2 linked regions of the Arabidopsis thaliana genome follow. The protein of the gene in region 2 interacts with the protein of the main gene of each other region in a pairwise test. Each region holds a gene or a part of one and is shown on either strand. Other genes may lie near its edges.

The links.
Region 1: the proteins of AT5G50090 (region 2) and SWEET1 interact in a protein complementation assay, tested with the Arabidopsis thaliana proteins (one large-scale study listed by BioGRID).

Annotation. Positions count from the first base shown.
Region 1 is NC_003070.9:7,510,944-7,515,225, forward strand, and holds SWEET1 (Nodulin MtN3 family protein), read right to left. Parts: upstream 2,539-4,282; 5' UTR 2,339-2,538; coding exon 2,305-2,338; intron 2,188-2,304; coding exon 2,151-2,187; intron 2,036-2,150; coding exon 1,940-2,035; intron 1,844-1,939; coding exon 1,564-1,843; intron 1,471-1,563; coding exon 1,351-1,470; coding exon of another isoform or gene 1,309-1,350; exon of another isoform or gene 1,267-1,308; intron 1,264-1,266; coding exon 1,087-1,263; 3' UTR 807-1,086; downstream 1-806. Other genes in the region: SCL1 (SCARECROW-like 1), read left to right, coding at 1-559. UniProt on the Arabidopsis thaliana protein: Mediates both low-affinity uptake and efflux of sugar across the plasma membrane. Can transport glucose, and, to a lower extent, mannose, fructose and galactose.
Region 2 is NC_003076.8:20,367,929-20,372,070, reverse strand, and holds AT5G50090 (D-ribose-binding periplasmic protein), read right to left. Parts: upstream 2,415-4,142; 5' UTR 2,111-2,414; coding exon 1,846-2,110; intron 1,485-1,845; coding exon 1,363-1,484; coding exon of another isoform or gene 1,330-1,362; exon of another isoform or gene 1,286-1,329; coding exon 1,193-1,285; 3' UTR 680-1,192; downstream 1-679. Other genes in the region: AT5G50100 (Putative thiol-disulfide oxidoreductase DCC), read right to left, coding at 32-155.

The sequences.
Region 1 (4,282 bases), on a different chromosome or scaffold from region 2:
CTCTCCATCAACACTCGGTTGCAAACCAGGAGAAACCTTAATAGTGAACTTTGCATTCCAACTTCACCACATGCCTGACGAGAGTGTCACAACAGTAAACCAGCGGGACGAGCTACTTCACATGGTCAAAAGCTTAAACCCAAAGCTTGTCACGGTCGTTGAACAAGACGTGAACACAAACACTTCACCGTTCTTTCCCAGATTCATAGAGGCTTACGAATACTACTCAGCAGTTTTCGAGTCTCTAGACATGACACTTCCAAGAGAAAGCCAAGAGAGGATGAATGTAGAAAGACAGTGTCTCGCTAGAGACATAGTCAACATTGTTGCTTGCGAAGGAGAAGAACGGATAGAGAGATACGAGGCTGCGGGAAAATGGAGAGCAAGGATGATGATGGCTGGATTCAATCCAAAACCAATGAGTGCTAAAGTAACCAACAATATACAAAACCTGATAAAGCAACAATATTGCAATAAGTACAAGCTTAAAGAAGAAATGGGTGAGCTCCATTTTTGCTGGGAGGAGAAAAGCTTAATCGTTGCTTCAGCTTGGAGGTAAGATAAGTGACAAGAGCATATAGTCTTTATGTTTCATAAAACATAATTATGTTTTTACTGTAATCTTGGGTTATTGTGTAACTGGTTAAATCATCTCCATGTATTATTACCAGAGGTTAGGGGTGATCACAGGTACTAAAAGCTAATCTAACACTTATGGAAGAATTTTTCTTTCTTTTTTTTCCCTATTATATAAAAATAATTAGAGTTTTGGTTCTAAACCTATTTGCTAAGTGTGAATGAGTCTTTACATGTTCATATTTCAGTTCAAATGGTTAAATTTGTTAAGGTTCTCACTTACTATTAGGCTTATCAGTTTTAACTCTTAAACTCAAAAGCTCATTAGATCCATAAAACTCACAAAAGGCATCGTCATTCTTCATCAATCACTAGTGTATCAGTACGAAACTAGGAAACGTTACATTTTTCAGCATCATTTTTTTTACATTCCAACGAAACGAAAAGGAAAACTCTAGTTAAGCAGAGTTAATACGAAATCACATAACCAAATCATCCTCAAAAGCTCTTTTAAACTTGAAGGTCTTGCTTTCCATTAACCACATTCTGCTTCTTCTCATCATCTTTCATCTCCACTGACTTCTCATCTTTCTGAGCATCTGCAGATTTCTCTCCTTTGTTTCCACAGTAGATGAAGTATAGTATCAATTGCAGTGTCCCTAATGCACATCCAAACCCATTTGGGATCTTCGCAACAACAAAAACCCAAAGTTAGAAACAAAGTTTTGATATTTACCAAAGAAAACAACACAAGAAGGAGAAATTGTAACTTACTGCAACAAAAGGGTCACGACCGATTAGACCATAGACGAACCACGAAGTACCACAGAGGAAGACAAAGAGTGACAAAAAGAATGGCATAAACTCTACACTCTTCGTCTTTACCACCAATCTCTGTAAATCAATGAACCAAACACAAAATTTAACAAAATGAATCCAAAAGTAAAGAGTAGAACTTTAAAAAGATCCAATCCTGAGTTTGCTTACCATGATGGAGAGTGGAGAAGCGTACATGATGATGGAGAAAACAGTAGCTGCGAGACCACAAAAGAGTTTTCTACCGTTTCCTTGAAGAGCAAAGAGAGAGACGAGAGCTACTGTTGCGAATACAGCCAAAACGCAAGAGAAGATACCAAAGATCTTAATTTTCTCCTTCTTTGGTGCGTAGAAAAGAAAGATTAACACGTAGACTGTTTCGATCACTGCTCCTGTGCCATTGATTGTGCTCACAAGTGTGTTGTCTTTTGACACAAAGGGAAGTCCATACCTGAAAAAAACAGAGAAACGCAGAAACAGAGGAAGTAAGAAACAGAGCTATACTCTAATGGAAGATTAAAAACGTAAAAGAGGGAATTTTTTTTACCAAGCAGAGAGGAGACAGTTGAGGAGAGTCATTGGATAAGGGATACCAGAGAATTGTTCAGTGGATTTGTTCTTGATGATTCTCTTGAATGTTATCCTAATTTCATTCACGAACAAAAAAGAATCTTGAGTTTTTTTTTTCCAGAACAGAACAACAAGAAATCGAAAGAATCATAAATCGGTTCACTATAGAAGAGAGAAGTGATACGTACGAAGGAGCCAAGAAAAGAAACAGAGCAGTTGCATTTCCTGTAAAAAGTAGAAAAACGACAAAAACGGATTAGTAGTACTCTCAGTGATTTCTCATGGAAGAAAGACGAAGAAGATAGAAAGACAGAGAGAGAGGTTGAGGAAATGAGTTGCTACCGAAAACGCCGAAGATAGTGTGAGCGATGTTCATCTTTTGATCTCAAAGGTGGCTAAAGATTCTTCTTTTTTTCTTGTTCGTAAGCTGAGAGAGAAAGTGAGAGAATATGAGCTAAGTGTTTTCTATCGGCAAGCGTATATATATCGAGATTCAGCGTGTGTTAACCGCTTCACTGTGGAACACCAATAATTACAAAATTAATAAAAGTATAATAAATTATGAAATAATGGTATTAAATATTAAATTTTAAAAATACATGGTTCTGTTATTAATTTTTGTAGTATGAATAAAATTTGAAAAAAAAGTTATGGTTAAGAACTAATGTTTTGAGAAAACCTAAGTTTTAAATTTGAGTTAATTGAGTTATTTCTTATATAAAAAAAAAAAAGTTCCCATGATTTTGAATTCTAGTGTATATATACAGATTTTTTCTTGATACCAAATTAATTTTTGGAACGAGGTTTTTTATCTGTTACTTGTTTTTACGTCCTCGAGAGGTGAACCTGACTCTTTGGATCGACGTTTCTTTTGTAGATAGTTATAGAGATATGGTTAAATACTTAAAAATGAAATAAACACCTAAAAAGAGCAATGTCTTTTCTTCTTTTGTTTTTTGTTTGATACTAAAAGTAGCTCTGAACAAGCCAGAGTGTTCTGGGCTTGACGTTGATATGTGACTCGAGGCCCGAGCCTGTATTTTCTGCGGGGCAGTGGCTAGTGGTTCATCTTCTCCATGATGTGTTACTTTTTTTTTTTCGTTGCCCTCTTTAATAGAGATTCTAGATAAAATTTGACAGTTTAGGAAGTTTCTGGTTACATAAGCGAAACCAAACCTAACAAACTGTCAAGTTTATTTAAGGGCACCAATAAGTTTCACTAAATTTCAGTTATTCTATACCGTTGAACCACAGCCGCAGGATATACTTTTTAGTATAGTGAGTGATCTTTTTGGAATGTTTTCTAGTCACCACGAGTTAGCTTATTCAGCTTTACCCAAACCATATCGGTTCATTCATGATCATTTTAACCGGAGTAAAACCAACAAAAAGAACATTAGGTTATGATTGTGAGGCTAAGGTTAATGGATCAACGTCGGTAGATGAGTTGATTATTGAAGATGACCAAATTTGTTGAATTTTTTTTTTTTGTAGGAAAAAATCATGAAATTGGCTGTTCTCGCGTACGTGTTCATTATATATTTTTAATACGTCTAGTTCAAGAAAACAATTTAGCTATGTACGCAGTATTTAGCTAAAATTCAAGAACCTATCATAAGTCCACTGCAAATCTAATTTAGTTTATGATACCGTATTTCATCAAATGGCAGATTTTTATCAACCCATTTTTTCTTTTTTGTCGTTGGCTACATCAATATTTGTTGAGATTTTGATATTTACCTAGAACAATGTGATCTAATTACTATATGAAGGCAAAACCAAAATTTAGCACAGTAACATGATTACTAGACTGCTAGATGATTCAGTCTGCATACTTTTATGCTCTCTCATCTTTTGTGAGTTGAAAACACCTTTTAACTTGTTATCCACAATAGTCTTACTTTTAAATCCGAATCTAAAATGCAGAAGCTTGAAAATCTTTGGATGTGGACGAACAAATGCCATTATATATTAAGCTTTCACTAGGTAGGCACAAATTATCTGATAATTGTAATAAATTATCACCAAAAACAAAGAAAATCGAGGATTGAGGTTTGGTTTGAGTCCGACGTCAATGATTGAAAGCAAAAGAGTACTGAACTAGAGAGAAAAGGAAAAGACTATCAGAAGAGTGAAATGATGATGACGTTGGTATCAGCAAGCACCACATGGCATGGCACAACTCTTCACACGAGTCACGTAGCTCTTTCCTTTTCCAGACATATTCGACCTTCCTTGTCCAAGTTGTCCTCTCTTTCAAATTTGTTTTTTTAATAAGAAATTGGACCACTATTGTGTACTTTTTGGTTAGAAGGATCGT
Region 2 (4,142 bases):
ATCTTAGAACAGAATTGTAATGAAATTGTACCTGTTGGGATGATTCTATGATTGAAATTGGGATTGAAATGGCGAGATAATGATCGAAGAGAAGGGTTTCTTCGGTGCTTCCATATTGTGGATGCAGCAGCAGCAACAGCTCCTCTCGTTGCCATTTTTCTTTTTTTTTTGTTCTTGTCCAAAATTTTAAAAGCCCCTTTGATGGAATTTTGATTTTTGGTGTTTTTTCTCTATGTAGCTTTGGTTATGTCAATTTGTCAATGTGTGGTGTTTTAAATCAGAGGCGTTAAATTTTATGGTGCAGAGCCGTGCACGTGGCATTACTGTCTCCTTCAATGTTTTGTATTGTATGCCAGTGTTGGAGTACCGTGGAGAATGGGAACATCGAGCGTATCCCGTGTGTGGTTAGGTTAGGTCGGTCGGTTATGAGCAATATCAGAGACCAACTCAGTATATGTTTTACAGTTTTAGCTATTAGAGGGGTTTTAAAATTATAGTTGAGATTTTTTGTATGGTTAAAATTCATATTTTGTATTATTTATTTATTAGTTTAATGTATTCTATTGATTTATACATATTAAATATTCTATTAATGTTTTAATAATTCCAAAATTAATACGTTTTTGCTTTTCGAAATAGTGTCCAAAGTTTACAAGCAAGATTTTGATGGAGTCAGTAAGAAATAAAAGAGACTATAACATTGGTTACCAATTTTTAGTCATCACAATTTTGCAACGGACATAAGACTGCAATGATATGATATGTCTATCTTCAAAATCTGTTGTATATAAGCGAGGGATTAGCGACAAAAATTTTCCGCCGTTCAAATCCTCGTTAATTGTACATACTTTTTTCGTTTCTCTTTTAATTTTTAGATGTTTTAATAATACTCCTTTGGAGTACATTGGATCAATTATCTAATACATGATCAGCTTCAAGCACGCTCGATGCTTTCGGTTACGTTTGTAACGCTAACTTTTGATAATTTTTGTATTATTCTACTAGAAGAAGTAATGAGTCTTCTTCAGTCAAAAAAAACTGAATGATTGCTTTCGAATTTTTTCACTTTAATATCACATACTCCAAAGGACCAGCTTTTGTCATTAGCCACTCACATGCCTTCATATTTTCCAAACTATATCCTTAAATTCTGAAGCTTCTCTTTAATATTCCCCAAAGTTTTAGAATTTGCTCAGCTTGATCCTCCTTCCGATATGCTTTGTAATGATGGCTGCCATGATCTTGAGATTCTTGACCTTTCTTTCTCCTGTTTCTTCATTTGCAGCTATAGACGTTTTTCATCCAAGTTAAAACCAATTATCACTATAATTAAACATGGTAATCTTTGTAATCACATATTACCTGATCTTCATTGTCAAGCTTAGTAGAGTTTATTGCTTTCACCATCTCTAGCTTATCATCCGAGCCTTTACTTTCTTTCTTCAACTTCGAACATTTTTTGGCCATTAAACCCTTCATAACCTCTGAATTTCACCCCAAATAGTATCAAAATTTGTAGATTAGACCCCAAAAACGTATATAAATATAACTTTTAAGAGAGTGTTTATTTTAACATAAGTATAAGTACGGTTAAGTAAGTTTTCTAAAGCGCCTACAAATAGTTTGAGAAAATCAAATGCTAACTATGCGGAAATAGCTCATTCATTTCCTAGGGTTGCAACTTACGAGATATATGTAACATATTTATCAAACGGACTAATAAATATATAGTTCAAATTCAATTACGAGATATGTAATCGAGATGCAAGAATATAGAGTTGGAGTAGAATTATTGTTAGTTGAAATGTTGGAGTAGATTTAGGCATGTTACTCTAATATATATACCTTTGGTGGTAATGAGTCTATAGACGTGGCCGAGAACAAGCGTATCCGTGGGACGAAGGAGCTTGATCCTCGTGAGCCTAAGAGGCCCTCCATGACCGGAAGATGCTGACGAGAGAGCGGTGGTAGAGATGAGGAGAGAAACACAGTGGCCAGGATTCATCTTCATCACATAACTTGCAGAAACTGGACAACTTAACTTTTCTTCTTTCCCATTTGGGTGTTGTATCACCACTCTCGCTGTATCCACTGCTTGACAGTTTCCCATCTTTTTTCTTGTAATGTATAACTTGTAGAGAAATCAATAATGGGTTCTTATTGTGAAGTGGAGATTTGGAAGTATTGGATAGAAGAGAAGTTGTAACCGAAGCAGAACACGAGAAGAGCGTGAAACGAAGGAACAGTTTTAAATGTGTTTGACTCGACCAACGAGAGAGAATGAGTGCGGTCTTTGTCTTTGACGGTGGAGTCAAAATAATTACTGTCACCGCAGGCCAAATGAGTATTCCGGTTTACGACAATCACTCCCAATATTCTTTTCAATGATTTATGCAAATTTACGTGTATGACCCCCTATATATCTCTTTTTCTGTAGCAATCAAATTGATTGTACTCGTAATGTTGTTAATTATAACCAAAACAAAGTGTCTATATATTAGTTAGTTAATTACTAGGTGCTAACGAAATTGCAAAAATAAAAGTGCAGTATGTTCATTATTTGATTTATAGTTTTTTTATCCTGTATTCTCAAAAAGAAAAAGGAAACTTACGTTTTATATATTTTAGATAACTAATGCGAGGAAATCATGAAATTGGGTCTGATGTAACTCGATTATTTTTATTTTTATTTTCTTGACAACAAATATTACTGAAACATTTATGTTAGTGAAACATATAGTTTCGATAATAAAGAAACATTACTAAAAAATGTCAGATTTACGGGATATAAGCAAATATTATACTCGTACTTTTACTAAAGATTTTCATTCATATTTTATAACGTATTCATCACATATATATATCGTTCATTCTCAAACAATATATATTCAAACAATTTTTTGCGTATTTTTACAACTTTATATGCAATGTCATCTTATAAGTTTGATCATTGTTATGCTAACAAAGAAAAGAGAATAACGGCACGTCAAGCAGAATATGGGACCCAACCGTTCTCCACAGTCCGCGACACATGCTCGATGCTTTGTCTTATGTACCTTACTTTTCCATTTTCTATGAACGAGTGTGTTGTTCTACTTTCTTTTCGTTTTTGATCTTTTCCCCCGAAAGGGAAAGTGTTTCAAGATGGCTTCGTTTATCACTCTTCTTTTCCTTCACGTGTTTTGCTATATGAATCAAACTCCTTGCAAGATTACAAAAATGTACGTCTCTTCCCGTTGTACGTACACGATATAGTAACATAAAAACTTACAAGTTTAAGTTACAAAAATGTACGTCTTTAGTCTAAGTTAAGTCAGTCAATGTTGATATGTGTCAGCCACAACATATTGTATCACGTTACTAGCTATGTTACTTTAACCCAAAATAAAAACAAACTTCTTTTTTCAAGCTAATTTTTACATTAGTAAGCTTTTGAAAACTTTAACATTCTTCAAAAACTTTTGTGTTTACCTTATACTGTTCTTCTTCTTCACATGAAGACTTATCTTTTCATATCAAACAATCTAACCTCTGTGTCGTGAAATCTAAGCTCCAACCCCAACATCTAGGGGCGGCTCTTGACATGTGCAAGTGGAACAATGTGCAGGATCTAAATTTTTTGGGATAAATTTAAGGGACCAAATTTACCTTTTTAGTGTAAAGAAAAAAACAATTTCAAAGATTTTTTCAATATAAAAAGGGTCCAAATTTTTTTTAGTATGAAAGGACTAATTTTAAAGATTTTCTTAACATAAAAGAGAGTCTAAATTTTTTGTTTTTAGTATAAAAACCCCAATTTTTAAGATTTGTTCTGAATTCATTGAGCCGGTCCTGCCAACATCCTAAACCCTTATTATCGTATTAAGACTCGTTGAGATTCATAAACCTTTAATCTTAAAATCTAAACATTAATTAGCCCAACGTTATTATCCTTCTCGAAGCATATATATCACCACTGAACACCCAACCTCTCTCATGAAATCAAAGAGTGATCCATACGATCAATCGGTGGTTATAGTACATGGGAAAGATATTACAATCATAATGAATAAATTCTTCTAAGTTACGATGAACAAGAAGTGGCCACTCAACTAAACTGATTTGAAGGATGCATTTTTCATGGGGAACTTGATACAAAGGTT